Linked DNA regions of Styela clava. The protein of the gene in region 1 interacts with the protein of each later gene in a biochemical or structural test. Links are inferred from orthologs where the notes say so. Each region holds a gene or a part of one and is shown on either strand. Other genes may lie near its edges. The genes, in order: platelet-activating factor acetylhydrolase IB subunit beta-like and nuclear migration protein nudC-like.

Region 1 (17,221 bases):
ATAACTTTCCAACCTTTTCTGATGATTTAACTGGAATGATAATTTTCTCAGGGTATGTGCTACACAAATGACCATCAGGATTATTCAAAACTTCACAAGTATAATCTCGTTCCATAAGTTCATGACAAGTTTCATAAGCTTTTGACAACATATCAATATCTCCATTTCCCGGTAGATTTTCATTGCTACCAGATATTGCAAATGATAACAAAGGAATCAACCGACTTTCATTGTCCGCCATGACAAGACTAGTATTACACAAACTGTAAATTAAAAACATTGTGTAAATAATAACTTTAACAAGTTGAAACACAGTATAATATAAATGATGCTTCATTCTACTGCCTGACATCTCTGGTGAGATGACTAAGGCAAGAAAGATGAGGTAACAAGAGATACAGTTCATCATATACCTTAATGAAGTAACAATATACAAGGGAAATTTTATCATCACATGGCTATATGAGAGGTTAACGTATCATAAAATAATGAAGAACAGTCAATGAGAAACAGTAAAAGTGAGTCATTGGAGACCTGTAACAAAACTTCAGTCAAATCAAAGTCGTTCTGTTTTTTTGTCATGTGAGCTCAGGGCAAATTGAGTCATTGGTTTAAATCAGTGGTTCTCAACCTTTTACTGGCCGCGTACCACTTTCGAGTTTCTTAACCTGGCTGCGTACCACCAACAAAACCCCATTTGTGGTGGGGACAATGGCACAAGAAACACGCTATGGTAGTATTTTATGTGGCTCCACCACTTTTTTACAGACCTTCATGCAAGTTTCGAAGTATTTATTGAATGCAATAACAACGTATTAATTGCGTGCAAAATTGCGTCATCAACCGTTAAAGCTGAAATGCTTTAATCACTGCAAAACGAATCGAATTAGGGCAAAACTCGGACGAATACACTTTGGTCGTCACTAGCCGCTATCACGAACTGCCTAACCTAGTCTCAAAATTTATTTAACCCCAAAAACTCAAGATTATGCTGATCATCCAACACATACATCAAGTAGCAATAGTAGCATCCTGGTAACCCAATCCTATAAACCCGTTCAGCGAATACATTTAGTATGTACGGTAAGATTAAGAGAAATTGCTTTTGCCATATTTTAGCCAACTCAAAAGTTAATTGTTGCAATAATTCAAAGCTGCTCGCGTACCACTTAAAAAGCTCCCGCGTACCACACTAGAATGAGTACCACAGGTTGAAAACCACTGGTTTGAATGGGCATGAAACAAAATAATTTCTTCAAGTGGACACAATCTTAAACATTTTATAGCTCTGTTGGTATAGTTAGCATATTCTCTTAGCACGTAAATCCCACACTTATCAGCCCCATGTGTGTTTTGTTTGAAGTAAATTAAGGGTGGAATTAGAATGCAATTCGACACTGTGTGCCAACAAAGGTCAGAAGATTAATGGCATATTTGAAGTTGTTTTTAATATGAAGCAGTTTTATAGGGTTTGGTGCTAAATTGGCTGGAATACAAGGACCAAAATTTAGCAATCTCAGCTGTGTCTGCAAATTTTAATTGGCAAATCTGTATTACCATGATTTTGTCTGTATTTTGACAAAGCTCAAATCAGTAATTTTGTTATATATATATATATATTCGACACCATTTAGTCATCATAACAGATGATAAAATATTTGATAAAACAAATAGATAGAAATAAATAGATTACAGCATCAGGAGCGCAAACAAAAACTTTAGTAAGGTTTAACACAAACAGATTTTTGATTGAAAGATGTCGTCTAAAAAAGTGGTCCGTATTCTCTCACATTAAAGTGTTGAATTAATATACACACACATATATAGTCTATAACCACAGAGAAATACAGCTGTATAGTAATTTTTTTGCCACACCATATGAATAATTGTGAGAAATGCCAAATTGAATACAGAATTCTGAAATTAGTAAACAGGAGTGAAGACATGTAAAGAAAAATGATCATTGAAAGATAGCACCATGCTGATTATCTGGATTATAGGCTAGTCTCCTAATGTTAAGAAAAAATAATCATTGAAAGATAGCACCATGCAGCCATGCGGATTATAGGCTATTCTCCTAACAGCCTAAGGTTAAATTGTCCAATCAGAATCGCCAAGTCAAGTTGGATGCATGAAGAGATGGGCTAGACATTTAGACAGCAGATCACAGTCCTCCCATTTTAAGATGTCTCGACATTCACCTGACCTTCCCTGCTGTGAGTGCACTGGGGCTCACAGCGTTTCTCTGTTTTAGCTCGCATGCAATAAAACACAGAAACGAGATGCTGAGATACCGGTACTGTATTGAGCGGTTTTTTTCAGCAAAATTTCCGTTTTTTTACCAAAAAAATACCCATGCAACATTAAAAAAATTGAGAATAGATGTATATCAGTATAAAACAGCGCTACCAATGATAATTAAAATTGACAATATACGACGTTTCTTAGTCAAAATTGGCGTGACGGTGTGGCTCATCATGCTAAGCATCACTGCATCAGGAATAGTCCATGCGGGTCTTTCTACTTCAGTACTTACTTAATAGAGCGCAGAAGAGAGGGGAACATTTTTCTTCCCTTATTTATACTATTTGCTTCCCTGAAATTTTAAACAATTTGATGGGAAACAGTATACAGTGGTAAGGAATGATCACAAGTTTATATCAGTTATCTTCAACATCTTTAAATAACCCAACATGACGCACCCTAACCTGGCACACATACCTACTGTGCTCAGGCTGTGCGCCATCTTGGTGCACATACTTCTGGAGTTCCAAAATTTTTTTGATTTTGCTCATTGGTGTGCTCATATTGTGTCACGTCAGGTTATTTAAAGATGTTGAAGATTACTGATATAAACTCGTTATCATTCCCTACTACAGTACTACTGTTTTCTGTTTCCCATCAAATTGTTTAAAATTTCACGGACGCTAATAAAACAAAAATGTTTCCCTCTCTTCTGCGCTGTGCTCTGTACGTAAGTAGTAAGACCGAGTCCATGCTTTCCTTTCCCCCGAGATAAATATGTTAATCCTATCCTAGGGTATACTGGTATAGGGTGGCTTACCCACTTTGCGGCCAAGACCTACTTGCGACCATCAACTTCATCGATTAAATTAAGGCCGAAAAAATTAACGAACCGAGACGATATTTCTCACGCGTTCTCGTCCACTTATCCTTCGTAGCTCTGCGAAATTACACTAAAATGCGGCGACAAACAAAAAAGTTACGACCGAAAACCCGACCGAAGAAAAAAAACGGACCATTTTTCCTTGTCGCCAACTGCCCATTGTCCCTTTGAAAAAGCTTGAAAATCCATACAAATATGAGAGATAAAAAGTTGAAACTTGGCGGGTGGGTAGAGTTCTGTTTCTTTTAACCATCTTTAAAGTTTCGCGTTTCTACATTTAAAGGATGGGGAGTAGGGGGGTGCGCATTTCCAATACGTCGATAATAGCATTGTCGACCAATTTGCGACCACCGCGTTTTTGTTTGTTGGATTGCTGTAATGCGGTGCTTTGTTTATAATTTGACGAGTTTTGTTCGAAATAACCTTGTTCTTAAAATATAGGACAGTCAGAAATGCAATTAGAAGCTAATTTTTTTTACGCATGGCTGCGTATGCCCTAGTCTCACGCAGCAGAAATGATGTTCAAGGCTTGAAATCCGTGGTTGCACACTGGTCGTTCGGTCGCAAATACGTCTTTAGAGTGTCGCACTTTGGTGGTTTGTATAGCTTTAACCCCTGGTCGTAGAAAGTTAATTCGAGGTTTAGCATGTAGAAGAAATGCCCATGCACCTACGGTGAAAAAATAAACGGGTTAGAAATATTGGTTTTTGTTTTATAGCGGTTTGAATGAAATCGTCCGCAGACTGGCTACACCACCCTATGGCCGTTTAAAATTATTGTCCGAAGTTTGGAACTGTCCGAAGTAGCCACTTTTACGGTAACAAATAGGGTACTGAAATACCAGAATACTGAAATAAGACTCATCTGGTCCTTCTTTACCATTGAGATAAAGCTAGCCGTACGGTACCGGTACGGTAGCCATTCAGTCATTCGACTTCCGGGACTAAAGGACTACGTACCGGTATCAGACTATGCACTGATGCAACTAGGCCTACCGGTATATCATAGTTACCGTACCGTACATCTGTATATGTTCATTCGCGTGCAATAAAACGCGGTAACTTATTGCTTTCTGTAATAGTTGTCGTCTGTTGATACGGTCCCGCTGATAGTCAGAAATGAAAGATTCACTAAACCCACTTCGCAATCGACAACCGCAAGCTGCTAAAGCTAGTCAGCCGGTCAACCCATTCGACTTCCGCGTTTGGAACGTCATATCGAGGGGAGATCCCAAACAGCAATACATAGCGATTGCATCAACTAATACAACCGAAATATAACGAAACCTTCCGACAGATTTGGTCAAAGGTCGTTGGAATGTTTTTTTCTTTCATGAAAGGCGTAAAGGTTACATTAGCGATAAAACTGAATTAATGTTGACTAAATATATTTTTGCTTAGTAAGATATAGTATAGCAATTGCCATAATATATAAAATTGAGAAAGGAAAACCTTGCGATCCTACCAAAACATGCAAGTGGGGCAAAGATCCCGGATAATCACGATCCCGAAATTTTGGCTCATTTACTTGTTAAGCTTACCATACGTCCCGGTTTAGCCGGGACAGTACTGTTTCTGGCGAGCTATCCCATTGTCACGTCCAATGGACCAGTCGTAAAAATTTCTTTTTATTCAATGCACCGTGTTTCTCCGAAAATAAGACCTACCCTGAAAATAAGACCTAGCCTGAATTTTGAAAATGATTTTAATATAAGTCCTCCCCAACGACTAACATACCGTCCTCCCCGTAAAATAAGACCTAGTGAATAACGCGAATTTTTTTTTTGACCTAGTCGATATCTCTTCTACGCGTTTTAAACTGAATGATTGATAATAATCGATGTTTTGCAGTTATTTTGAATAAAAACGTTTTATTTATAAGTAAAGGAATATCGGTTTCCATATTTTGTATATATGAAAATCTCGTAATTCTACTTTGTAATTTCGTTTTTGATGAATGCAAATATAAGACATCCCCCGAAAATAAGCCTTAGTGTTATTTAAAAAAAAAAGTGAATTTAAGACCCAGTCTTATTTTGGGGAAACACGGTAGGCAACCGATTTACCACTGATTTGCGACTTACTTTACTAGTTAATTGCGGGAACTTGATTTCTTAGCATGCAACTGACAGACTTAACCTGGTAAAAAAAAACTTGAATAAATAAATGTACAATTATTGAAACACTACTGATAAATTGACTGACCCAGAATAGCGTCACACAAAATGACGGTGAAGATGCCTGTTTTTGCCAACCGAACGCAATAAAAGTTTCACGCCGACTAGTATGTTTTATCCCAATTATAATTTCTGTGGTCGAGTGTGGCCCACACCTAGCCTACTACCATGCTGCGACGTCCCTGACTTTAATTCAATTTAATTCGTTTATTGGCGCTCCAGAAGTGTGTGTACCAATATGGAGGTAACTAATTTTGTTCGTCTTTTGAAACCTATGGGAAGGGGTATATTCACTTGGCTAACATAGAAAGTCCCCATCGTGGTCCATATCATATAACACAAACAAATCATTGTAAATAATTTTGTTAAATTCCATATAGACTACAGAGGTTTGTGCTATTAATTCCACGCTTATAGATATTGTTTCCATAAAAGTTACGCTGTCACGCGATTTAATTATCCGTTGAAATAAAGGGCGGTTTGCAACACTAGTGGCACGATTGCGGTCTGATTTTGTTTCTTGGGCGAAATATAATTCAACTTATATCCAGTGGTGGGATTCAGTTGGCACGCACCAGTTCTTAGAACCGCCTCACGGAATTTTATGAGATCAGCGAACCGGTTAGCATTACTGGTTACTGTCAATGTTCTGTTTGTTCTGAAAAATATGATATTTGAGAGGGAACGGCTGACAAAAAAATTGAATCCCACCACTGCTTATATCCTATCTCATCGTCCGCATTTTGGTAGTGTACGTTTCTAAAATTCGAAAAATGGGATTTGGGTTAGAACGTGATAATATCTGTTTTGTGTACTTTCTGAAGTATTGAACTGGGGAAAAAGGGTTGATTGACAACCAAGCGTCCAAAGCTTTTGTCCTGGCACCATCTTTCTACGACTTTCTGCGAAACCAGGTAAATATACGGATTGTGGTTCCAGTCCCATTGTATGTCCCTTAAAATGGCAAAATAAATATCTTGAAATTTTTTTTATCAACCTAGCTTGATGTATCTTTTTGTCCATCTTTGCCAAAATGAGTGGAGAATACTCCCGTTTTATTAGCATCGAAATATCTCAATTGAACACCACCGCACTAAAGGCACCGAGTTTATCAGCTAGTCGAATTCTACCCATTGAGGTTTATAAGATTCTATCCAATCTTGAGCTTCTGTGTCCACTTCATGTGGTACACTTTTTACAAAAACAAACTTTCATGTTTCATCTGAACTGAATTGATCAGCACGCTATTGTATACCAGTAGTGAGCGCCTTGAACCAATGTACACCTGTAAATTCAGATACACTACAGTATAGTTTTCTTGATAATTCGAGTCACTCATACACTTGAAAACACAAAACGGATCGCTGCGGCTTTTTTCAGATCTTGTATCAGCAGTGCAATATGCATGGTGGTGATTCGTAAATAACAAGTCAAAGATAATAGATTTTTCTTTCTATCGCATAAGTACTGGCTCAAACATTTCAGCCCGAATCAGGAGTCCTTTCTTCGCAGTTTTATTTTTATTCTATTTTTCTTTTATTTAACTCTGTCAATCGACGAATGAAAGGTAAACAAGCAGTCCGACCTAGCTAAAGGTAATTAATTATGTCTACAAAAGAAACATGTTGACGCTTCAAGCTCTTTTTAGGAAATAAAAATTGAACAAGTGGATAGTATAAAAATAAGTGGGTGTCAGGATTGATGATAATCTAGGCTAAAATTCCCATACTAACCCACTGGTCAAGAATTTATCGCAAACGGCTGGGACGCATTTTTAATTTCAAAACGCTTAAATCGGTTCCTTATTATAGTTTGTTTCACCCACGACTGCAATATAAAATTCTTAGTAAGGGTCAGCGACAAAATTCGTCATTACAGTTAAGTAAGTTTTACAAAATCAAGTTTTAAGGTGGGCTACATATCGTTTTCAGAGAAAGTTTACTGTAAGCATGAAACTTTGCAGAGGATGGAAATGTATTCAATGAAAAAATGCAAAATCTATGCGTCGACATGAAGATGATCTTCAAAAGGGCCTTTAATCACTATTTTATACTTTCAAATAATGTTCATAAATATGATATCCGTCTTAAAAATTTGGGTTTTATTTCACGACACAGGTTTTCCTTTCGGAGGGAAATATATTTAAAATTCAAGAGAAATACAATTCAAACAAGAGAGCTACGCCCAAATATATGGACACGTCTGTTCGCAGTACAGTACGGTGTACCGTTACTAGCGTACCGTCAGATCACAGTCTACAAATATATTCACACCAAGCGAAGCAGTACAGTAGGACACAAAATGGCGTCCGATGAACGCAGAACGTTTAATGACGTCATAGAAAACAAAAACAAAATCTCACAGAGCTAACAGGTATATTTAAAATGAATAAAAGTAATAGCCTTCTGGGGAAAAATTTTATCTTCAACCACTGAAAATTTCAAAGCAATCGGTCCAGTATTCGAAGAGAAAAGCGGATTTTTAATATTTCCACTAGGTGTGTTATTCTGTGTCAAATAACAACAAGAACATAAACAACATAATATTGAAACGATCGTTATGTTCACTACGTGTCCAATAATGTTGTCCATGTGCTGGGTGCTGTATTGAACGCTATCTGAAATCAAAAATTCATCTCATTTTCACATTTCATTATGTGCATTGAAGTGTAATTTCAACTGCATGTATATAGCCTCCAAATTATATACCCTCCCCAGAATGAATGTTTTTGTCCTCAATACAATTTACTCAGTGGTGGGATTTAAGTTATTTGTCAGCCGGTTCCATCGCAAAAGTCATATTTTTCAGCCGGTTCTGAGTTGGTGCGAACCGGCTGAATCTCACCACTGAATTTACTGCTAATGGCTGACTTTCTTTTGTAATAAAACAACATCAGGATTTTTATTATTGAATCCTTACTAAACAGCGCCAAGGCGGCTAATTTGACCAGGAATTTAAGCCTGATAAACTTTCGGGCTCAGTAGCCTGCCCGCCCTGCCGAGTGCCGACAAAACGAAGACCGCTAGAAGTTTTGATATGAATATGAAGCATGTCCGATCTCAAATGTTGCATGACATGCATTGTCCATGATCCGATCAAGATGGCATTGCCCTTGTCATGTTTAATCAAGCGTGTAGATTGACTTGTCACGTGACACATTGACTGTCGTTTTCACTATATTTTTGGAAAGATTGCTTTGTTTCGGTTTAATCTGGGGTACGGTATCTGTGCGATAATGCAACGACAGCTTGAGTCACGCCCTGTATTATGTTTAGTACCACTGGAGGACATCCACTGCTAAAAGTAATTTTCAATAATGCCACCTTAGTATCAAAAGATGAATTTAACGATAATTTAGTTTACCACAAATCTGTCGTATGGTTTATAACGTTGACAACAATCCGACAATTGCCAGATTGCTGAGTGAGCCAAAATCTGAAGCTGCATTTACTGCGGATACTCGAAATTTTTTGGTATAGTTTATATGGCAGTTTGGTGTCATTACCATAACACAGTACCGTAACATTTTTATGTCATTGAATAACAATTTTGCAGTTTTGGTTAACTGCTGTCAGAATATCCTCAATCAAAGTGACTGGTAATTGTTATCACATCTCAGTCTGTTGGCCCAACAGTCTGCGATGTAGTAAGTTGTGATATCTTTATATCCACGGGTTGTTGAATTGAATGGCTAAAGGGTAAAATGTATCGGATTACAGGATTAGTGAAAACTGGAAGTGAATCGTATTTGATTTTTAATTAATATGTCTTACATAACCATACATGGATAGTAATATGTTTGGAACAAAACGGTTGGTAGTTTGGAGCAAACGATTCAACTTGCATATCTAAAACTTTGCTATTGCGTTAAGCTGCTACATTTTTTCAAAGTTTTGCTAAATAATCTCAGAATCTGCCATTTTGAATTTGCAGATTAAGCTTTATTATTCCTTTAGGCAATTGTAATTCTGTAGAAATTATAATTCGTATGGATCATAATTGAATATTCAAAGATAGTTTTTAAAGCTGTAAAGTTAGATCGCCAGTAAAGTAAGAAAATACTGCAGTATCGAGACAACTTTCGGCATGCAGTGAAAATGGTTTTATCATCAAGACAACGAGATGAGCTGTAAGTTCTTGAAATTTCATGTTCTATAACCTGAGTAAATCTGCAAAAAATTGCAAATGATTAATTCCGATCCAGGACTTCAACCTACAGACCCAACTGGCTAAAGAAGTACCGTAAAACCGGCTAACTTCGGATGATTTCACTATATTTTGAACAATATCTCCGCCGCATGTTGTTCAACTTAAGCCAAATTTGGAATATAATACATTGTGGCTATTCTCGTCTTGATAAAGTCGGTTCCATATCCATCAAAGCCTTTTTTCATTGAAATTATTGTCTTTATTCGTCTATTCTAAAATTATCTAACTTCGGATGGCCACTTTTCTCTTTGCGTCAACTCGTCGTGAGAGAGAAATGTCTGCGTAAGCAATGACGCGTGACAACGTCGCTGAATAGTCCTTACGCCGCCACGACCCGTCTTGCGTGTTGCATACTGACGTTTGTACGTGACGTTACTCTTGCCGCTTCGCGAAACTTAACTATTTATTCTTGTGTCCTTTATTATAACTCGTATATATTTCACTAACTACTCCTAATTTATTGCATACGGTATCTATCGGTGTCGGAGGAAGTATGCAAAAACAAAAATCGACAAATTTCATATGCATTAAGCGTATGCATACCCATATTTTTAAATAAACAACATATGACTGAGACGATAGTGATGTTTTTGTAGGATATAGTGACTAGGATCATGGATAAGCATAATTTTTAAATTTCACAAAACTGCCGCGATGTCTGGCGTTCAAATGTCGCAGCGAGTAACGCACGAGCTACGCAAAGTGACGTCGGCTACGAAGAGAGAGAAAGGGATTTGCGTCGTTGACGTCACGCTGTACGTAATCATCAAAACGTCGATATTTTGATGTAATTTTTAAATCAAAATAATCGATTTCACTCGAATCTCGTACGACACCTTGTGATCACTGTATTTTTTTGTATACATTGTGTACGCTCTCTAGCGCTTGGCGGTGATTTGACGAAAGTAGCGTCTGTAGAAGTCACGATTTGAGCCGCTTGAAAAAACGGTGTCATTTTTTTGGTAAAATATGATTTTTTGAATGATAAAAAATCAAATCGAGCGATTGGAGGCTACGGCAGATTCAGATATGTAAGGCCTTACTATAGAAACCGACAGAAGCGCAATACGACGAAATTTAGTTGAGATATGAATGATTGAAAATTTCATCCGAAGTTACAAGGCATCCGAAGTTAGCCGGTTTTACGGTATCTGACATACTTCTGTACTTCTTGCTTCGATACGTTTCAACTGTTTTAGTCTTAAAATCCCAGTATAGTAATTTTGATCTAATAATAGATCTAATGATCTACTAAAATAAATAAACTTGAATTTGCATAAAAATGGCTGTAACATTTTTAATCCTTGTTACGTTCTGTCTGTGGTAACATTCTGACATTTGTGCGATACATTCACTCTCGCTTCAATTACACAAATAATTATATTTTCAGAAACAATGCCATATCAGAATATCTCCGATCAAATGGGTATGATAAAGCCTTCAATGCCTTCCGAATGGAAGCCAACTTGGTAAGTTTTCTTATTTTCAATATTTTATAATATAGATAATTAAAAAGTATCCTTGATAACATGAGTTTTCCACATGATCATTCGAATTTTGAAGTCCCAGTGCATGGATTTAAAGTAATAGTATTGCAGTAATGTAGTAATGAATATTGCTACCAATGGGTCAGAGGAACTGGAAAAGGTAAACAAAACTTGATAAGTCTTATCTAATTAGTTGTTTGATTGTATAGGTTTGTTTCTTAGTCCCAGTGTGGATCATCTCATTATGATTTGGTATTGCTAGTTGGCCTTTGAATCATGAGCTATTTTTTTTTTATAGTCTGAAAATATTGACAAGAAATATGAAGGACTCATGGAAAAGAAATGGACATCTGTTGTTCGTTTACAGAGAAAGGTAATAATCAAGAAAGACCAAAATAATGATTTAGGATTCAGAATCTATTTAGCAAAATAATTTTCAATATGGAATATCAGATAGGATCTTCCACACAACAGTGAGTTCACTGTTTTCAAGTCATTATTCATATAATTTGACATTAAAATACAGAAAGATAGAGATAAAAATAGTGTTGATTGGTTAATTTAATAATAATATTGCCCAATACTTAAAAGAAACATATCTCAAAGAACAATATTATCACCGGTAATCCTAAATTCGAATCTACTGGTATTTGGATCTTGCTTTGGATATCCCTAGTATTGTTTAATATTTTTGAATTCTCATTATAGTTTTGATGATGAGCAATTGTGGCCGCATTTAATCACATACTGTGTTGATGTTGCAGATTTTTTCATTGCCGTATAATTTCAAGTTCTATTTTAATATCTTAATCTTTAAAATGTTCTTATATTCAGGTCATGGATTTGGAATCCAAATTGAATGAATTAAAAAATGAAAGTAGAGATGGAATTGTCCCAAGAGATAGAAAAGATCCGGCAGAATGGATACCACGACCACCGGAACGTCACTCATTAAGCGGACATCGAACACCGATTACGAGAGTAGTTTTTCATCCTGTGTATTCAGTATTTGTATCTGCTTCTGAGGACACCACAATAAAGGTCAGCTAAAAGTTTTCAATATTTGTTTAATTTTTTCTAGTGATTAAGTCTTGCTGCTTACTATCACAGATATATTTCTGTAACGTTTCGTTCCAAGTGCTGAGGAAGTATTATATGCATACCTGAGCATAGAAGAAGGATGAGTAGTTAGTCCCGCAGAAACCAAATCAAAAGCACATTATTAAATTATTGCTACTTTTGTAGTTGATTCTCTTGTTTAATAATCATAACGAAAGTGAATTATCATGAATGGCAAAATCTAATAGTTTATTATCCCAAATAATATATATAATAATATTCTTGAATTTTGAATATATTCTTTATTGTTGGATCATGTTCAACAGAGAAATTTGCAGAAATCAAATTTACAGAAATGTGTGAATTTATTGAAATTGAATTAGGTAATACAGTCTATACAGAATATTTAGAATAAGCACTGCTCACATTGATAAAGGTTTTCCAGTGAAGGGAGGTTTAAGTCTATTTACGTCTGAGCATCAAATGTCAAATGCCTAAAATAAAAATAAAATTTAAATATGTATTTTCTAACCATTCATTAAGCTCACGCATGTATTTATTATATTGAATCTCACTAATTTCAAATATATTCAATTTGTTTCGGATATCCTTAGTTCCAATTTTTGTCTTCATGGTTATATTTAGCAAATACTATTTGTCTTTGAATTCATTTATTTCATCCACAAAAAAGTATTCTCATAATTTCTATCAGATTTCTTCTCTAAGCAAAATCAGTAGGAGTTTTTATAATTACCATACCTAACATTTCAACAGATGTCTGAATTTCCTCATATATACATTCTTATGTGCTAGGTAAGGAGCTACCATAGATTGAGGGACCAGAATCTTTCCATTTTTGCATTGCTTTTCTAATTTTACACTCTGGGTGAGATGGTGGGCATGGGTTTTTAACCCAACATTTTCACCTGACATGCCATCAAAGTAAAATCTAAAAGTAAAGTTGACCTTCTTAATTTTCAATCAGTTTTATTGCAATCTCATTTGAATTTTTGATTATATTTATTCAGGTATGGGATTATGAAAACGGTGATTTTGAAAAAACATTGAAAGGACACACAGATTCTGTTCAAGATGTTAGTTTTGACAGTTCAGGAAAACTTTTAGGTTAGTATCAATTTTGATATGACTTGATTCACCAAAAACAAAGATCGTCTTACCCCCAGTAGGTCAGTTTACACAATGGTTTGCTCTGCTCTTCACATCATTTACAATTTAGAAAACCTATGAGTGGTTTGTCACGTTTATTTGAGTGCAATAGTTGGCGTTGTTCAGACTGTATCAAAATTGAAATATACAATCTGTTGGAATATCATTTGTATCCAACATTTGGACTCAATGTATCTAGATTTTACTTTTAGTAATCTATTTCCACCTTGCTCGAATACTCACATTTCACATCAAAAGAGGTTGACAGCCTTTAATTCTTGTACGTTGGTCATATCAACTTTCCAAAATTTGAATATAAATGAATATAAAGAAATTCATCAAGCATTAAAATTTAATTTTTTTTACTGAGGTGACTTTTCGTGTGTGTCTACCTAACATTTGTTTCAGAATTCCTCTGTATGTATGTATTAGTATTAGCGCTTTATAATACTAGCAATTTCAAATCCTTTATTTTTTTTTAAATTTGGCTTATGTACATACATCCTTTTAAATTCATGCCTTCCTTATAATACAAATTACCTTGATACAAATCATTTTGTTTGTATTTTAGCATCTTGCTCTGCTGATATGACAATCAAGATTTGGGACTTTGACGCTTATGAATGTACAAAAACTTTACATGGTAAGACATCAGTGGAAGTTAATAAATTTTTCAGTTTTTTTAGATACTATCATGATGTGATATATTTGAAACTAATTATGTATTCAAATACATTTAGGATTTGGTTGAATATTGGTTATAAAGTTGAAGTCATTTGAAGTTGTTACAGTTCACACACGGAGTTGGGCAAAGTCCGAAAATCCTTTTCGCAAAACGCCGCATTGAAAAAAACTATGTACTGTTTTTAAAAGACCATATTATATTCTTACATTTAGTATAATATCCCAAATTAAAGATTCGTAAAGAAATACATTAGATGCCACTTGCTTTCAGTTAATATTCATGAATAAAATAATGTCAATGCGACTGATGTATTATTTGATGACTGACATCAATCAATTTATGAATCAATGCGAGAAGTGAGATTTACTAATTTTCAGAACTGACTGCGGATTTGGGTCAGTAATAAGATTTCTCTTAATCTGTTCTGTGAGAAATTTTCACAATATAGTCTCAAATTAAAGGGGGCGTACAAAATGCTTTAATACTGTGTTGTAATTTAACAATTGTATCATGAATTGAAATTGGCAAATGGTATATTTAAAATCAGATATGCAGTCAGACTTATGTCTAGTCATATATATATTCCACTTCTTTTCTCCTCCAAACATGACTTACTACTATATTATGTAATCAATATCCAAGATTTATAAATAGTTTCAATATTTGAGCCTTGGCCGGCCCCGATATTCTTCAAATTATGCTTACACTTTGAAAATCTTTTTTCCACGTAGTACCTTTAATAAATGTATAATCATATGCATACCTACATCGTGAATTGGTGTTTGAAAGAGATACCATTTGAAAGTGTTATAGACTATAGTAGAATTTGCCTGCACTATATGCCTGCTGAAAACACTCCCACCGTTAGTTTAAATTATTTATGTGAAAAGAGTTGTTTCTTGCATAAAGAATAAAAGGTGACGCAACTAACGTTAGGAATATTGTTTGCATGAAACAAGATCAGTGTTTAGGATCTTCATAATAATTCCTATTTAAAAATTATTTTTCAAATTAAGACTTTGTTAATAAAATTATGAAAATATATAAAAATCAATTTCGAATCATAATTACTGTGCATGAAAGATCAATTCAGAATAATAAAAACGTTAAAATTTTATGTAAAATATTATAAGGTACTCTGGAATATTGTAAGGCAAATAATTTTAGTTTCCAATTCAAATGGACTGATTTCACTGAATTTCCACTTCACATTTATGTATTTAATTCTTACGGAAATTTCTAGGTAACATATGAATTTTTCCAAACCAAATCAGGAAAATACTGTTGGGTAACATAATTTGTGATTTATAACATTTAAAAATGGTGGATTTCTAGAAGAACAAGTTATATTGTTTAAAAAGTAAAAATTGACGTTTATCTGAGGATTCCAAGGAGTTCAGTTCAAACAAAATACAAACCAAAAAAATTTCCATTAATTCTTACAGATGAAATTGCTATTTTATATAAAATTTATTGGTTTTGCACTGCAGTTATTAACAAAAATGTTATGTTTTTTATGTAGCAGGCTAGGGTTCCATTACATTTGAACCCACGACAATTGCACCGGCATACTATTGCACCTATGGATTTTTTTTGTTTTACGAATATTTGAACCCAAACTAACCCTAACCCACGGGTTTTAGCACCCGCATATAGATTGAACCCACGGATATACACATGGGTTCAAATGTACGGTCACCGTGGGCTATATATAGCTCTTCAAAGTACTGAACTATTTGGATATAAACATGTCCACAGGTTCTAGTATTTGTATTTTAATCATCAGAACCTGTGCATAAATAAGCCAAGTAACTTGGATGTCATTGAAATATTGTCTTTCCTAGATAAGAGTAACCTTTTTGACCTTGTTAGACCATTAGTTTGCTTTGGAAGTAAGGGCTTTCAATCCTTTTGTTTGTGTATATTCGATAATGGATAGCATTGTGCCTTTTCGAATTAAAATATTATTGTAGCAATGGTTTTTGTGCTTATTATGAATGATAATATGAAAGTAAATTTATTTCGATTATATTATAATATTATATAAACAAATGGAAAACCTTGTATTATATGGATACAAGACAACCTTCAAGCTTTTATATTCTTTCTGAGTTGTGGGTAGATCAGAAACTAATTCAAATTACAGTGCAGTTTATGATATAAAATATGATATATAAAATTCAACTCAATAAATATCCTGAATAAATATTTTTGTTTTTTTTAATCGAAACAATTCAGTTAGGTGATTTTCTAGAATTGTTATATATTGACTTGAATTTCATAATATGGAAAATAAAAAATTTAACTTATCAGTTATTAAGAAAAATGACATCTTCCAAATAATAACATCCTACATTCTTTCACTATATCAGGTTAATTCTTTCTGATAGTGTAGTAGGGATAATAAATGTAACATAATTGTAATTTCTATTGCAGGACATGATCATAATGTTTCATCAGTTACGTTTATGCCAAACGGGGATCACTTGATATCAGCAAGTAGAGACAAAACAATGAAACTATGGGAGGTTGCTACAGGGTATGGATTGAAAAAACACTTTAAATTTCAACATTTTCTTTCTATAACGATTCAAAATTGAAGCAAAAACTAAATACAACTGAACCTTGATAATCTGAATTGGGACTATTCTTGGGTACATCTGAAAATTTATTTTGTGTGGCTTGGAGAATTGTGAAACCTCATTATTTTGCATTTGATGGTATATTATTCAAAACTGTTCCAAACTCGGGGATGGACATATTTGAATAGAATTATATCTTTCCACATAGAAATATTCCAGATCATTGGTTCTCAAACTTTTTAAGCCGCGCCCTCTCAAAAAAGTTGTCTCTGCCCCATCATTAATTAAAGAACCACTGTTTTAGATTCTTCTTAAAATTAAAAATTAACTACCGGTACATAGAACATAATTCATTTTGAATGTATTGAAATATTCGATTATTTGTGGACATCATTGGTTGCAATTCATGGATACGATTGATGAGGGTTTCTATAACCAACCAGTGACTGAAAGAGGTATATTATTCTTAGTGTGCATCACTATCTCCTGGGATTTTGCTCGCCAGTACATTGATGAACGTGCCTAACTTGACACATGGCCTTTCAAGAAAATAATAGTTATATTTCCTTGAAGGAAATCAATACTCTGCTTTCATTCTCAATATTTTTATTGTCTTAAGCTTATTTTTAATACAAGGCATCGTGTGTTTTTTGTTACACAGGTACTGCATTAAAACATATCTTGGGCATCGTGATTGGGTTCGAATGGTTCGACCTAATGTTGATGGAA
Region 2 (15,717 bases), on another chromosome or scaffold:
TTCCTGAATTACACAAGCTAAGATAATGGCATGGTGTTCCCAACTGTGTGACACCCACTCAATGGTAATTTCTAATGCCAGTTTCCATGAGATTCATTCACCCTTCAATTTTCATATTTGATTGTAAGTTTTTTTTTCATTGTTACAATGTGCATAAACATGGCCAGTCCCCGCACTGACCAGGTTTCAACATCCCTCTTGCGTTGCATTTGCGTAACAAAGATATACCGTAAGCAAGAATTCAACTTTTTTTGTAAAAATATATTCATATTCAAATATTAGGTATCACTAAATAAAATACCTTGATATCAAATTACGTTCAATTGCTAATCAAAATAAAACCATTGGTTTATCAAAATAATACAACCAGAAATGAAATTATTCCATACTGATACTCTATTGCAGTAGAAAGAATACTTTGTTATAATAGTTTTGAGTTGATTTCCAAACCCTTTTTTCTGAATTTCATCAGTTAAAATCAGAACCGACACCAAAATTTTTATAGTCAAAAATTAGTCTTCCAGTGTCTGGTGTTTGAGTTTTACTTTTCAAACTAAAAAGTCAGGAAGCAATATGGCCACAATATTTGTCAAATGGAATTTATTGTTTCTGACTAGCTTGAAAGTCTTGACAAAACCTATCTTCGACTTCATCAGGACTGAGCTGGAGCCTTGAAAATTTCTTGAAGCTGAGGCCAATCAAGCTACCAGAAGTATTAGTGGCTCCAGTTCTGAAGAAGCTCAACTCCCAAGTTAGCCACAGTTTGATTATACTGGAGCGAACCATTCTGATTTCAAACCAAATATCCGGTTCTGAGTGTGACATGTATGCTTGAGAGTTGAGTAATGAATAAGTTTGATATAAAAAAGGGTCAGGAATCCAACTAAAGCTTCAGTCACTTGATATTCATGTAAAACAGAGATGTTCACATCATCTAAATAGTTTAATCTAAATTCCACTCTACATGCTAAAGTCCTTTTATTATCTTCACTTTTGGTTGTTGCACTACTGTATTGAAGACATTTCCTTCAAATACAGTTCTATTAATTCGTTTAAACACCCATAAAAAGAGCAACAAAATGGTGGCATATTGGACCCATCCCCATTTGATTAATTCCCAAAATCCAGGCTGGTAGGTTATCACTTCTGTAGGATAAAAGACATCAAGTTGTAAAACAAAGGGCTCCGTGGGCAAACGCCCAGGCGACCATACACTGTACGAGTTTTCAAGTCTTGTGGTAATGTTTCTTTGGGAGTAGTTTTTTAGGATAGTAAATAAATCATAGCTTGAAGCAAAAGTGCTTGTCGAATCAATGATAGGAGTATTGAATCTAATGTCAGTGCCTCTGTGATATAACGGCACTCTTTGATACAATCCAAGATCACCAGTCACCTTCGCCCCCGCCCCACCTAAAGCCGAAGATTGTGATACGTAAACCATGCTCTCCATTTCAAATGTTGACATTCTGTATAACTTGTAGTCAAAGATAACCAGAAGGTGAACACTAACAACCTGTTCTGAAGATGTGAGGGGAACACTTATATTAAGCGAGAGTTGATCGTTAAGACCATCACGATTATTATCAAGTTCAAAGGAAGACACCTGGGGAACACGTAAATTGCCTTGTAATAAATTGTTAAAATTTGCATACGTGCTCCATGCAAAATATTCACCAGGGTTTGCAAGTTCCGCCACAATAAGAAGTTGTTTCTTATAAGTGACGTCTGGTTGTTCTTGATATGTGTTTGTTGTAATCCAAAATCCTTGGCTTCTGTATGCAATTAGCAGAGGTGGTATGAAAGTTAAAACTAACACTGCCAGGACATAGAAGGAAGCTTTCGACCAAACACTCGACTTGTATCGATACAATGCAGGTAATGAGTAGATCTCAAACACGGCCATCTTGAATCTAAGAAAAATAAACAAGAAATAGCTGATGAAAATAAAAAAATCATTACAGAATCAGAAAAGCGAATAAAGTTGTATGTACGGAAGTAAGGTTTAAAACATACAGAATTTTAACAGAATGGTGTCGCTGGAGGTAAACTGGGGGTTCAGGGATCCCCGGGGGTCCGTGACAACTGCACAGGGTACGAAACGATACGAAAAAAGTCTGATAGATATTTAATGATTGATTTCAATCAAAGAGCAATTGCAAATTTTTGGTTGAGCGTTGCGGACGAATATCCATTGCTGTCAGAAAAGGCAATTAAAATTTTATTGCCTTTTGCAACGTCCTACATGCGTGAGGCAGCATTTTCAACTCTTATAAATATGATGACAAAATACAGGTCAAGACCTAGAATCGAAAAATTTTGCAGTGGAAAGCAATCTAATCCATCACATTAATGTCATTTGTGTTATAAATGGAAATTGATACATAGCGCGTATCCATCAAAATTAAGATTCTCGAATAGGGGTCCGCAGCCCAAAAAATTTGGGAAACTCTGATTTATATATTATGCAAAAATAAAAAGAATATATTTGCCACTCCCACACCTATATCTGTATATCAATGATTTCTGATTTTTTTTTTAAATTTCTCAATCATTGACTACCAAATCAATAAACACAAGTAAACAGAAAAAATGATATTTATCAAAAATATCGCCAAGCTAATTATTGTTAAAGTTTACTTCATCCAAATTGCCCAGACAGAATTGCCAAAGGTGGCAAGATCACCTTTCACTTAAACATATTTTAAACTTACCAGTGATCTTAGGAGTAATGTAGAAGTCAGGTACCAATCTTGGATGTCAATTTAACTACCGTATATCACTAACATTTTACTAAATTTAAGAGAAACTGAGAAAGCCCACAACAAAGTTTTATTTTATAATTGGCTAACCGCTTGAAATAATGTACACAAATGCAAAAACGGGGAAATTTTAATCACGTGGGGCTAGTAGAGAGTCAGAAGTAAAAAAGATGTTAGGTAACACAGGTATAAATGAACGATTTTTAACTACATTATTTCAAAACACATAAATGAAATTTTAAAAATTATTCAAATTTATGACATCGTTTTACATTTTAAAATTGGTAATGTGTTTGACGCAGAGTGGCAAGCAGTTGATGAACAGTACCGGATAATAAGTTTAATAAGTATAAGTTTATTTCGACTCCATAATCAGCAAAACAATAAAATGAATGCTAAAAATAAATAAATAAAAACTGATTATGAAATCAGGAGAGCGAACAAAACCTTAGATAAGGTTTAAAACGTACAGAATGTATATAAGATGGAAGGTTTTGCCAAGAAGATGTGGTACGTGTTCACTCACCTAAAATAATTGAAATATTTCACACACGCTCACACGCACCCACACACACAACCATATAGAAGTTATTAAGTAAAGGGAACATGAAAAATTACATACTGGTAGTTAATAAAAAATAAATAAATAAAAATTACTTGCCACACCATATTAATAAATTTATCATGATTGCCACTGCCAAATTGATCAATTTTATAAATGGGAGTGAACAGTAAAGATAAACTTTTATAAAAAAATATATTGTCAAGCTGATTATAGATGGAGTCAAATGCCAAAATGCCCAACCAAAGTTGCCAGAATTGGGTGCATGAAGAGGTGGGCTAGACCACTTCATTGCCCAAACTAGAGCCTATTATTGCCAAATTGTAGTCCAGATTGCAATAAGTATTTAAATCTATCAGTAACTTTATAAGTATGAGTAATTATAATTAATTAAGGTAGAAAGACAGGGTATAGGAATATGTTGGTTGCTAAGGTTATAAGGTTTTTTTTTTCATTCTTAGATATTGACTTCTGCAAGGATAAAGGAATTAGGAATAAAGGAATTAGTATTGTTATTTCACAGGATCATTTCTTCATTTAATTATTATGGCGTAATAGGTTCAAGTTTATCGTGGATGAGACATCAGCCTGCGAATTTTGTTGTTGTAGACACCATTTATATTCAATAAACTAGCCATTGTATTGATCATCACAGAACGACCTGAAAAACAGAAAACAAATCTGCGAGTAGGATATTCAAGGGTTACATATTTGGAAACAGCACTACCCTACACTTTTGTTTAGAATTAATTATTATTTCGAGTAGATATTGATTATTAGTTATCTATCTATAAAACGCTAGTTCAAAGACCAGAGTTGAAATATGGTTGGGACACAGGGTGAATTCCTCGCAAACCATGCAGAAACTCTCAAACCACACTGACCATTCGTATGTTGGCCTTCACATCAACTTCACAGCAGAACCTCAACCTAGGATAAAATTTTGTATACACACAAAACAAATCATAGAATACCACAACAAATTAAAATGAAGGGGAGAATCCAATATATCTCCACTGGTCGCCTAATTACAATAATAGGTACAGGAGCTAAACTATACGGTCTACAACCCTCATAAGGTATCACACCACCCATATAGAAACAAAGATCATGCATGTGTAATGTCAAAAATCCAACGTTAAGCAAAAAGGGAACATGCGCATGCAGATGTCAGAGTGTAAACAGCCATTTGAAAAATAAATAAATAAAATAATTTGCTGTGCATGCTACAGAACCCGACACACCAACAATAGATGTAGAACAGGTGGAGAGAGATTAACTGCCGGCTCAACAACAATCAGCAGCTGCAGGAGCAATAGCAATATTGTAGCTGTTTAATATTTTCATGAAAATAAGTATGTGCAAGTGAAGAGTGTCCCAACTTTCTATCATGGTCATTCATGAAGGTTCAATATTTTTTGTGTCCGAGCTATCAAAACGTTGTAGCTAATTTCATACGAAAGAGTATATATATCAGTGTGGTTATGGGAAAATAACTTTTAATATTTGGATACCAAGTACGACTTAACTTGTTTCTGAAATGATTTTTTGGATTTTAATGACTTCAAATTCAAGGGGAGAGAGTTCCATAGCTTAGGTCCATTATAGCATAGGGCATGCTGGCTCACAGATTTACTCATAAACGGTATAAATAAATTGGAATTACTTCTTCGATTGGAGGTGGTTTTGGTTAGTATGTCGTCAAAGCAGTTTGACAATGAGTTGTCATGAAAATCATAAACTAATGATAATACTTCAAATTTCATTATGTCTTCAACCTTGAGTATATTTAGCGATTTATAGAAATGATTTACGCTTTCACGTTTACTTTTCCTAAAGACAATTCTTAAAAAATTATTACAAATGCTTTGCAATTTCGAGACAAGTGTTTTATTACCATGGAGCCAGACTGAGCTACAATATCGGATATGACTTAGTAGTAGAGATTGAAACATTGCTAGTAAAGCTGATTGATTAACGCACTGGGATACTTTAGCAGCAACTGCCAAGTTCCTTTTTGTTTCACCAATAACATGCAACATTTGTGATTTCCATGATAGATTTTCATCAAAGATAACTCCTAGAAATTTTATTTCTTTCACTCTTTCAATTTCATTGTCATTGAGCAGTAGTGGTTTTGAACTACTCACACTTTTATGCTTGCTTGGGTGGAATAATACAAATTTAGTTTTGTTAGCATTAAGAGATAATTTGTTAACCAACATCTAGCTATGAATGTTGGTTAGTTCTTGGTTTGCAACTGTGAGTAGATCTTCAAGGTTTTTCCCATGAAGAATCAAGTCAGTGTCATCAGCAAACATGATCGACTCAGAGGATTTCAGACACCTGGACATGTCATTAATGTAAGCTAGAAAAAATAATGGGCCAAGTAAAGATCCTTGTGGAACTCCGTGCTTCATGACACAAATATTTGTAGAGAATGAGTTGTCATATTGCACAATTTGTTTCCTGTCTTGCAGGTAGCTCCTGATCCAATTGAATGGGACGCCTCTAATTCCATAGTGATAGAGCTTACTTAAAAGGATGGAATGGTCAATGGTGTCGAAAGCTTTTGAAATATCAAGAAATATTCCAATTGCATGTTGTTTGCTTTCAAAGGCCTTGGTCAGTTTGTGTACCAAAACATTAGCAGCCATAGCAGTGGAGTGATGCTTGCGGAAACCAAATTGATGAGAGTGGAAAACATTGTTAGTTTCAAAGAAGTTTGACATTCTACTATACATTATTTTCTCAAGAATCTTAGAAAATGATGGTAAAAGACTAATAGGTCTATAATTTCCAAGATCTGAAACACTACCCTTTTTAAATAGAGGAAGAACTTTAGATGTCTTGAAGCTTTCAATGAATAACCCACTAGATAGTGAAAGATTAAATATATATGTCAGGATGTCAATGATATGTTCTGGAACGTGTTTCAATACTTTGAATGGAATACCGTCAATTCCAAAACTTGACTTGGGCTTCATTTCGCGTATAATATTTTTTATTTCTAATGATGTAGTTGGCCTTAAAAACATGGATGAGGATTCTTGCTTTCCAAGATATGAAATGTAATTTTTGTCACAGCCAGCTGGTTGTGGCATACAGTCGAGCAGGGTTTGTGCCACTTGGGAAAAGTGTTCATTAAATTTATTTGCAATTTGTGTATTACTGCAATCGAGTCCAATCAAAGGACAAGAACCTGTTTTATTTTTACCAATAAGTTCATTAATTGTTTTCCATACTGCCTTGATGTTACCTTTGTGAGAGGCAAATTTAGATTTGATGGATATGTGGTAACATCGTTTTTTGAATGCAATGCGTAATTTTTTATAATTCGCTTATTCAATTAATAAAAACGGCATGGCAATGTAATGAGAGGGACGAATAAAATTTCTCTGATTTGCGCAATATTGTTTTTACGGTCTGTGGCCAACCGGAAGAAACTCCATACACCACCAAACAGCTTTGCCAATGCATCATGCTGGCAGCGATTTCGAAAATCGACGTTTCGTGGTCTGTTCAGCACATAGGATAGGATAGGATAGGATTTACATATTTATCCCGGGGGAGAGGAAAGCCGACAAGACGGCTTATCCATATGGCGAACCACGGCCTCTCGTCCGGTTACCATTCCAAGTCGGGTATGGGATTAGTTTTACTGTATTGTTTGTTTTCGGAAGCATGGACTTGGTGGTGGAGGAAGCCGTAACCGACCAGCGGTTACGTGAACCACCCAACGACGGCGAGGAGTCCAGCAATCCTCTCGCACATAACCATCCCTGCATGGGATTCGAACCTGCGAACCCACGCAGAGTAATTAGAGGTGCGGTGGCGAGCGTATTCCTAACGCTTAGCCCGTTGAGCCACACCGCCGCGCCACATTACAGCATTAAGGTGTATCCAGCACTTTCTTTCTTTTATTTATTTTAAATTTATTATTTGTTCATAATCAAAATGTTTTGCATACTAATAATGATGTTGGGGTTGATATTTACCGAAATTTCCAATGTGTGGATAAGTACCGGCGGTGTACTGCTGGCGCGGCGGTGTGGCTCAACGGGCTAAGCGTTAGGAATACGCTCGCCACCGCACCTCTAATTGCTCTGCGTGGGTTCGCAGGTTCGAATCCCATGCAGGGATGGTTATGTGCGAGAGGATTGCTGGACTCCTCGCCGTCGTTGGGTGGTTCACGTAACCGCTGGTCGGTTACGGCTTCCTCCACCACCAAGTCCATGTTCCGAAAAACAAACAATACAGTAAAGACTAATCCCATACCGGTACCCGACTTGGAATGGTAACCGGACGAGAGGCCGTGGTTCGCCATATGGATAAGCCGTCTTATCGGCTTTCCTCTCCCCCGGGATAAATATGTAAATCCTATCCTATCCTACCGGTACCGCACCGGTTGAGTGAAAAAATTTTGAAGGTTTACTGGGGTCTCCCTAAAACCAGGCACTTGCGAATCCTGGAACTTTGATATATTTTTTATTTTTACTGTACGGTACCGGTCCTGAAATTTAACCGTTCCGCAAGCCAACAAGCAAAAAAAGGGTGAAAACCACTGGTCTAGGTGGCCATACAGCCATATTTTGCGGCGGAGAAACTAAAATGATTGATTGATTGAAAAATATACTGGTAGGTGTTTTGTTTGTGTTTTACAAATTATTTTCTGATTTTTTCAATGCAGTGTTGTGCTAGATCAGGTGACAGTTTAACAGCCTAATAACCATGTTACAGTCATTAAGAGTGACGGTTACTAATCAGATTCCTCTGACTATTCTCAAAGTCACAACAAATTCATGCATTTCATGTCGAACCAGGCGTTCAGCAAAACAAGTTAATAACGATATTCCAGAAGAAAGAAGACGCATAAGTCAACTTGATGACTTGGATGAGACAATGCTACGGCCACAATATAGACATATCGAAGCACTGAAAACCGCCCCGGAAAATGTGCGTAAAATTTTTACCCTAGAGTTTGGTACAAAAGAGGAAAAGTTGGAATCAAAATTTCTTCAATATGGTGAACAATTGCAAAGACACAAATATGACTTTGATTCGCTTGAAATGGAAATCGCTGGTCTAACCATCACAATTCGTAAAGACCAAGAGGAGTATGTGAAACGAGAATATTTAAGTGGATATCTTGAAAAAAAATTACAAAGAAAAAGAAAACTCAGGAACGACTTGTTGCTAAAACTGAGACAAATGAATTTTGAACGATATTGTCTTGTTGTAAAAGTTTTAGATATAAATCTAATACATTGGCCTGATTATGATGTTAAATTAACGAAGCGTGCTGAGGAAACCATGGATATGAAATTCCGGACTTTCGCTGAAATCGAGCGGGAAAAGCATGAAAGTGCTAAACGCAGAGATGAAGTAGCAAAACTCCAAGCAAAATTTGAAGAGAAAATTAAATCAGGAGAATTAGTTATACCATGATATACCTACTCTTGTAATCCTTGGTTAATCATAAATCAACCACTTCCTGGCTTTAAAGACATGATAGAGTTTTATTCAACTTTGAGCCATTCATTAACTTTAGGTGGAGTAGAATAGGAAAATTTGAGCTCAGGTTATGGATTAAAAATTTTAACTCAGACTCCAGCTATACTTTCCAAAACATAATTGCTTGACCTCTGCTTTCTGACCCTAATATTCAGTTTAAGAAACTATTCAAGTGATCCGACCTCTGCTTTCTGACCCTAATATTCAGTTTAAGAAACTATTCAAGTGATCCGATTACAATAATTGGTGTAATAAAGATGAGATAATTGAAACAATAATAATGTTGTTTGTGGTATTTTCACATTGTCAAGTTGCACTGGGTGTGCTGGATGTCTTCGTAATATGAAATATGTAATTCTCCATTTATTTGAAAAATGCAAAACTGTTAGTTCATTATCTATTTGACATTCTATGTTAGAGACTTCATGCCTCCATCATTCAAGCGGTCAATGCCTAGAGGTTTGACCAGAAATAGTGCAGTCTTTTTAAACTCAATAAACATAAAATTTATTTTAATTTTTTAGATAAATATTTAGCCCCTTTACAACTGATGAATATTGGTTCATCACCTTTGAATTGCTTCTCTGGCTTTCTTATTTTTCTAATATGATTCGTTTCTTAATATTTCAGACTTATTAAAGAGTAAAATTTTAAAAAACACTATGGCACAACTCACCAAACAAGAAGAAGATTGGGATGGTTTGTTAATGCACATTGCAACACAGCACCAAGGTGGTGTTCACCAACTACTAGACACATTTTTTGCGTTTTTGAGACGAAAAACAGACTTTTTTGTCGGAGGAGAGCCAGGAGATGCGGAGAAAGCTGTAATCACTGCGATGGAGAGACAACAAAAAATAGCACTCAGTAACAAAACGAAAAAGGAAGAAAAAAAAGTGAAAGAACTGAAAAGGAAAGAAGAGGAAGAAAAAAAGAAGCAAAGACAAAAGGAAATAGAGGAAAGCAAAATAGTTGAAGTTACGGAAGAAGAAGCACGACAAATACAAGAATCAGCGAAGAAAAAAGAAAAGGAGAATTCAGTAAATGTCAATAGTAAAATGGAAAACGGGGACTCTGCTGAAAAAGAGGTAAAAGAAGAAACCAAGAAAGACAATGAAGAAGAAGAAGAGGATGAAGCTGATAAAGGAAAACTTCGACCGAACGCTGGCAATGGTGCTGATTTACCAAATTATTCTTGGACACAGAGTTTACAAGAGTTGGAACTAAAAGTGCCATTCAATGTGAATTTTCCTGTGCGATCGAAAGATGTTGTTTGTGAAATCGAACGCAAACATTTGAAAGTTGGTCTAAAAGGTCATCCTCCTATCATTGATGGCGAATCGTATGCGGAAATTAAAGTTGATGAATCATATTGGACAATAACAGACAGAAAAGCACTCCTTGTTAATATTGAAAAAGTTGATAAGATGAGCTGGTGGAGTCGACTTGTGACCTCTGACCCTGAAATCAATACACGAAAAGTCAACCCTGAGAATTCCAAGTTGAGTGATCTTGATGGGGAAACAAGAGGAATGGTAGAAAAGATGATGTTCGATCAACGTCAAAAAGAAATGGGTCTTCCGACATCGGAAGAACAAAAGAAGCAAGACATGTTGAAAAAATTTATGGCGCAACATCCGGAAATGGACTTTTCGAAAGCTAAATTTTCATGATTTAACCCTAAATCCATATGATGAACCTGGTATCCTCATAAATGCAACAGATGGTTAGATAACCCTAATCATATTCACATGAAATTTGTGATTTATACTTTGCAATGTATTATTTTGTAACTGTATGATATTTTACATTCCATTGTTGAATGAATAATCATACATAATCTGTAATTTAATTGCACAAATGCTGTCAAACTGAATATGATAGAACTGTTGCATATGTTGATGATTGGTCTCAAGTTTTGAGAGAATGAAAAGTTTGTTATTAAATGCTTCATTTTTTTATTCACATTTTTCTGGTCATTCTTCTTACTACTGCGGGTTAATTCAGAATTTTTAACTGTATATCAAGTGGAAATGTTGAGTTTTCAGACATATGACAATTTCAATGCCGTCAATGGGTTTTTGTTTGTTTGGATAAAGTAGTCCAAGACAGGTAAATTCATTTTAAACTGCAATGTGAGTGCACCAATAACGACGAGAAGTCGATCACATTCAACCTTTGTAATATTAGAGTAGTTTAAATTAAGAGCCCTAGGAGAAGTATTTTAAGATTAAGTGCCATTGGTTATTTCTAATAAAATTTTAGTATACACAAATGACATATTACAGCTACTTGGAAGTTCATCAAATTATACTCCGATGCAGGTGTTACTAGGATATTGGGTGTAGTTTAGTACCACGTGTACTTCAGATCGTGCCACAACCATTTTTGTTTGTTATTCCTAACCCCACCTGACTACGTCATCCGAAAATTACGTCACTACGATTTCACGATACGATAGAGCTTGCCAAAGTATCGCTGACTTACAATCGCCACAAATGGAATCTGCGCCGACGATAACGAATTATCTCATATCGGGGTCGATACGACGAGAGAAATAGATGGTCATCGGCTCGTTTTGGACGATAATCCGTATATTTTTGCGGGCCCTAGTATGTCGCAGTGACGTAATGTGGTACTTAACTACACCAGACCAAACCCAGACGTGTACGAACCGTTGAATTACAGGTTTTCCATTTTTCTTATTCAGTTCGGATCGATATGTGGACGTTAAGTTAGCACAAGGATGCTTGAACGCAGGAATTAGGATGACGAAGATCCTGTTTTGTTTGCACAAATTAGACTATAACATAAACGGAAGAATACAGATATCTTGTGGAGAGAAGTTTTTTGAGTTATTTTTGATTATACTCAGATGATGTTGTTTTATCATCGCATTTTTGTTACACTTCCGTCTCATTTCTTCATTCCTTGTAGCCAGTTTATCGCTCCGGTTGTATTGTATGTGTGACTGCCCGATGGAGACAGAAGACTACACCTCTAGTCCACCTCCATGTACAATTAGAATATCGCTCAACGGAAGGTGCGACAAAACATCTCAGCTGTCTGACACCTCGTAAAACAGTTGTCGAAATGTTACTTCGTGCTAAATGGAATCGCAGGTAAGGAGCGAGAAGACTATCTTAAATAATAAAGTATCTCGTGTTCAGAATATTATTCACATGTGTGTGTCTTGTGAGTAAGAAGTCTAATAAGCGTCGTAAAATGTACTAGGATTTGTTGCGAAATATTTTTAGCAATACCAGAAAGGGCAGTCCTCTTCAAACGCGACAGGAACTATGTATATAAAAAAGTCGAAAACAGCATAAAAATATTTCTTTAGCTTCATGATATCATTAATCTATTATTCATTTTAGAATGTTTTGCTTTTGGTGTTTTTTTGGTTTTTATTCAATTATATTTTCAAGTACAATCCCAGTAATAAGGAATAGTAAGGCACGTGCGCAACGGATACTATTAATACAGAGAAACAAACAACTATATATATATATATATATATGTATTTCGCCAAGATGTAGATGAAATAATGTGTTGTTGCCGTCAGAACTTCGATTGCCTTGTTTATGTTTGAAATAGACTCGGCCTGCTTTCGATTGCTTCGAGTTTGTTTTCAGTTTACTGTTAATCTTAAAATTTCCATTGCAGTTTATCGAATATTTCGAGCAACATTTCAGTCTAGTAAACCTAATCAGGAACTTATCAACATGGCAACTTTGGACCTTTCTATGTTTCAAGATGCAGCACCGTACCTTCGCATGTCCCAGCAGGAATTATTGGAATTGCAAACTCAAAAACCCGACGGTAAGCGCAAAATATTTTGGTGTAGCCATTTTTGGATGGTGTATTTACACGATTGAGAAGTGCTGAAAATTGCAGCTGGCATTTCTTAACTCTTGATGAAAGAAATCAATTGAAGTCGTTTAGGCAGATAACAAAGCAATTTTGTTTCCGGAAGGGGCGTGTATTGAATTTAGAAATTTAGATTAATATTCTGTTTATTTTTACAGGTAAGAAATACGCTTGGGTTCCCGCCGAGAATGACAGTTATTTGAGAGGAGAAGTTCTTTCAATTGAAGGTGGAAAATGCAAGCTAAAATCTTTAGACGGCGAAAAGGTTTGTACACAGATTAATGAATAAAGAAATTAAAAAAAAATTATCATTGTCAAGTTTTGTAATATATATATATATCCAATGTTGGCAATATTGAATGATCATTGGTCAAAATATAATTTTCGTCCTAATTCTCTTAGCACGAATCGACATATTCTTCCGATGCAAATTTCATATATAGCAACCTTTTTCATAACAAATGCGAAGATTTGCAAATAGCATGCTAAATGACATCCTACGTAGTGGCTTCATCGGTTTTAAACAATTCAAGCTTCAATGCTGAGAAAATTTGATTTTGATTTGAAAGCAGCAACGACTATTTTCTTTAAATATTCTAACTTTTTTATGCATTCATGCGAAATCAACGCTATTCGACATTGGGTTCCATCGAACTTGAACCGGCAATTCCAATACTGATCTCTGATGATATAGAATTTTACAAGAATTAATTTCTTTACATTCCATATTGTTAAATAACTTCTTATATTTGTTTGTATACAGGAAGTCACATTGAAAGAAGAAGACCTTCAGCAAATGAATCCCCCTCGGTACAACAAATGCGAAGACATGGTTAACATGACCCATCTCAATGAAGCTTCTGTACTGAATAACTTGAAAGATCGTTATGAAGCATTCATGATTTACGTATGTATTTATGATATCAGAGTAGGCCTAGTTATCTTTTTCCGTTAGTTTGGAATAGCTACTAAAGATTTTATCAATCTACTTTTACTTTTTTTCAGACGTACTCCGGTCTTTTCTGCGTCACTGTCAACCCGTACAAGATGTTGCCAGTGTACGCACCCTACGTCATCCAAGCCTACAAAGGAAAGAGGCGAACTGAAATGCCTCCTCACTTGTACTCTATTGCTGACAATGCATACACCGAAATGTTGATGAGTGAGTTTAAAATTTGATAAAAATAACCTTTATAACGTTAATAAAAATAACGTTTATACGAAAACTTGAAAAATTTCTCTTCATGCATTTGCTAATGAGTGAATTTGAACTGATACCTTTCATTGCTGATTGCTTAATTAAATAGTTAAAATGTCAATTTTAGGGGGCTGGACGATTTTCTGTGCCCATGTGCGGACGCTTTACTTAGACAGCATGCTATACCAAATATCGTCCTACACTCTACAAGTCAATAAGTCGCTTCACATGAAATTATTTTGTGTTGTTGATTTGTCTATTTTAGAAATGATTTTTACTAATAAACGTTTTCATCATTTTTAGATCGCGAGAATCAGTCTATGTTGATCACGTAAGTTTGTTTTTTATAAAATCAATTATCAAATATCAATGTCTTATCAGTTGTTTTCAAAACTAAATATTCAATTCGAATGTTTTTTATTTTATTTTCAGTGGTGAATCTGGTGCAGGAAAGACTGTCAATACCAAGAAAGTCATCCAATACTTTGCTTTGGTTGCTGCTACTGCAGAGTCCATGAACCAGAATAGTGATAAGGTGGGCTGGGCTGTAATATTGAGTTACAATTAAATATAAACATAGATTCTATCGGACTAAAGGGATTCTCATCTAGTTTTCGATTTGTGTTCTCGTCTCCTGGTTTAGATTGATAGATTAGTTCACTAGATATGGAGTTATGTTTCAACTATTTGCCTTGTAGCATTTTTAATCGTATCAATGTTGTTGTATGTCTTTAACCATTTTTTTGGTCGTTACAATTTGTGTTTTAATCTTCCGCTTTCCTTCAGGGCACTCTCGAAGATCAAATTGTTCAATGTAACCCCGCTATGGAAGCTTTCGGTAACGCCAAAACAGTAAGAAACGACAACTCATCCAGATTCGTAAGTTTTACATTTGTTATAATTTTATGGTGCAATAAGTTTGATTAATGAAAATTTCAATATATCAACTTGTTTTGTTCAGGGTAAATTCATTCGAATTCATTTTGGAAGCAGTGGAAGTTTGGCCTCGGCTGATATTGAGCATTGTAAGTACAATTTTCCCACCCCATTTAATTACTGAAGATCCTATTGAAAGTAAATATTAATAAATTAATCCATTTTAGACCTGCTCGAAAAATCCCGTGTCATCTGGCAACAAGGTGGCGAACGTAATTACCATATTTTCTACCAAATCATCTCCGGATCAAAACCAGAACTTTTAGGTGAGTTTTAAAAATTTGCAACTCTCGAAGAAGAAGTTTTTATTCATTTCATGACGCATTGTATTCAATTAATATAATTTTATTTTATAGACCAACTTCTAGTGACAAAAGACCCATACGATTACAAGAGTATCAGCCAGGGTGTGGTAAAAGTTGACAACTTGGATGACGGCGAAGAACTTTTGTTGACCGATGTGAGTCTTCCTCATTTATCATTTCCTAATTTTTAATTCTCCTCTTTTCACCTTCATTTGAACTGGGTCCAATGAAAACTTGATCCTCTTTACATTGTCCTATTCCTTTCCTTTATCATCATCATAATTTTGTTCTTACTCTTATTCTCTTCTGAATCGTTGCTTTCTATTCTCTCTCTTTTTCTCTATCTTTCATCTTTTTCTCTTTTATTGAGAAAAGCAGATTTTCTCTCGAATTTTTCATTCTCTTTTTTCATCTCTTTTATCTCGTTTCTCTCACACTTTAACGTTCTTATCTTTACTCTCTCGTATTTAATTACGTTCTTCTTTTAACTTCTCACTGTTTCGCTAACAGGAAGCTTTCAAGATTCTTGGTTTCACTCCCGAAGAAATTAGCGGTATTTACCGATTGATGGCT

The links.
Region 2: the proteins of platelet-activating factor acetylhydrolase IB subunit beta-like (region 1) and nuclear migration protein nudC-like form a complex in vitro, tested with the Homo sapiens proteins (3 studies listed by BioGRID). The link is inferred for Styela clava from reciprocal best matches to the Homo sapiens genes PAFAH1B1 and NUDC.

What each region holds. Positions count from the first base shown.
Region 1 is NC_135250.1:20,621,044-20,638,264, forward strand, and holds the start of platelet-activating factor acetylhydrolase IB subunit beta-like, read left to right. Parts: upstream 1-9,218; 5' UTR 9,219-9,400; coding exon 9,401-9,432; intron 9,433-10,902; coding exon 10,903-10,981; intron 10,982-11,297; coding exon 11,298-11,372; intron 11,373-11,833; coding exon 11,834-12,040; intron 12,041-13,086; coding exon 13,087-13,183; intron 13,184-13,796; coding exon 13,797-13,868; intron 13,869-16,346; coding exon 16,347-16,449; intron 16,450-17,153; coding exon 17,154-17,221. Other genes in the region: phosphatidylinositol-3,5-bisphosphate 3-phosphatase MTMR14-like, read right to left, coding at 1-451. UniProt on the Homo sapiens protein: Regulatory subunit (beta subunit) of the cytosolic type I platelet-activating factor (PAF) acetylhydrolase (PAF-AH (I)), an enzyme that catalyzes the hydrolyze of the acetyl group at the sn-2 position of PAF and its analogs and participates in PAF inactivation.
Region 2 is NC_135264.1:10,088,250-10,103,966, forward strand, and holds nuclear migration protein nudC-like, read left to right. Parts: upstream 1-9,372; 5' UTR 9,373-9,497; coding exon 9,498-10,508; 3' UTR 10,509-10,800; downstream 10,801-15,717. Other genes in the region: transmembrane protein 231-like, read right to left, coding at 968-1,903; small ribosomal subunit protein uS15m-like, read left to right, coding at 8,053-8,769; myosin-7-like, read left to right, coding at 12,561-12,657, 12,864-12,970, 13,469-13,612, 13,711-13,867, 14,207-14,234, 14,336-14,438, 14,690-14,782, 14,865-14,928 and 3 more. UniProt on the Homo sapiens protein: Plays a role in neurogenesis and neuronal migration. Necessary for correct formation of mitotic spindles and chromosome separation during mitosis. Necessary for cytokinesis and cell proliferation.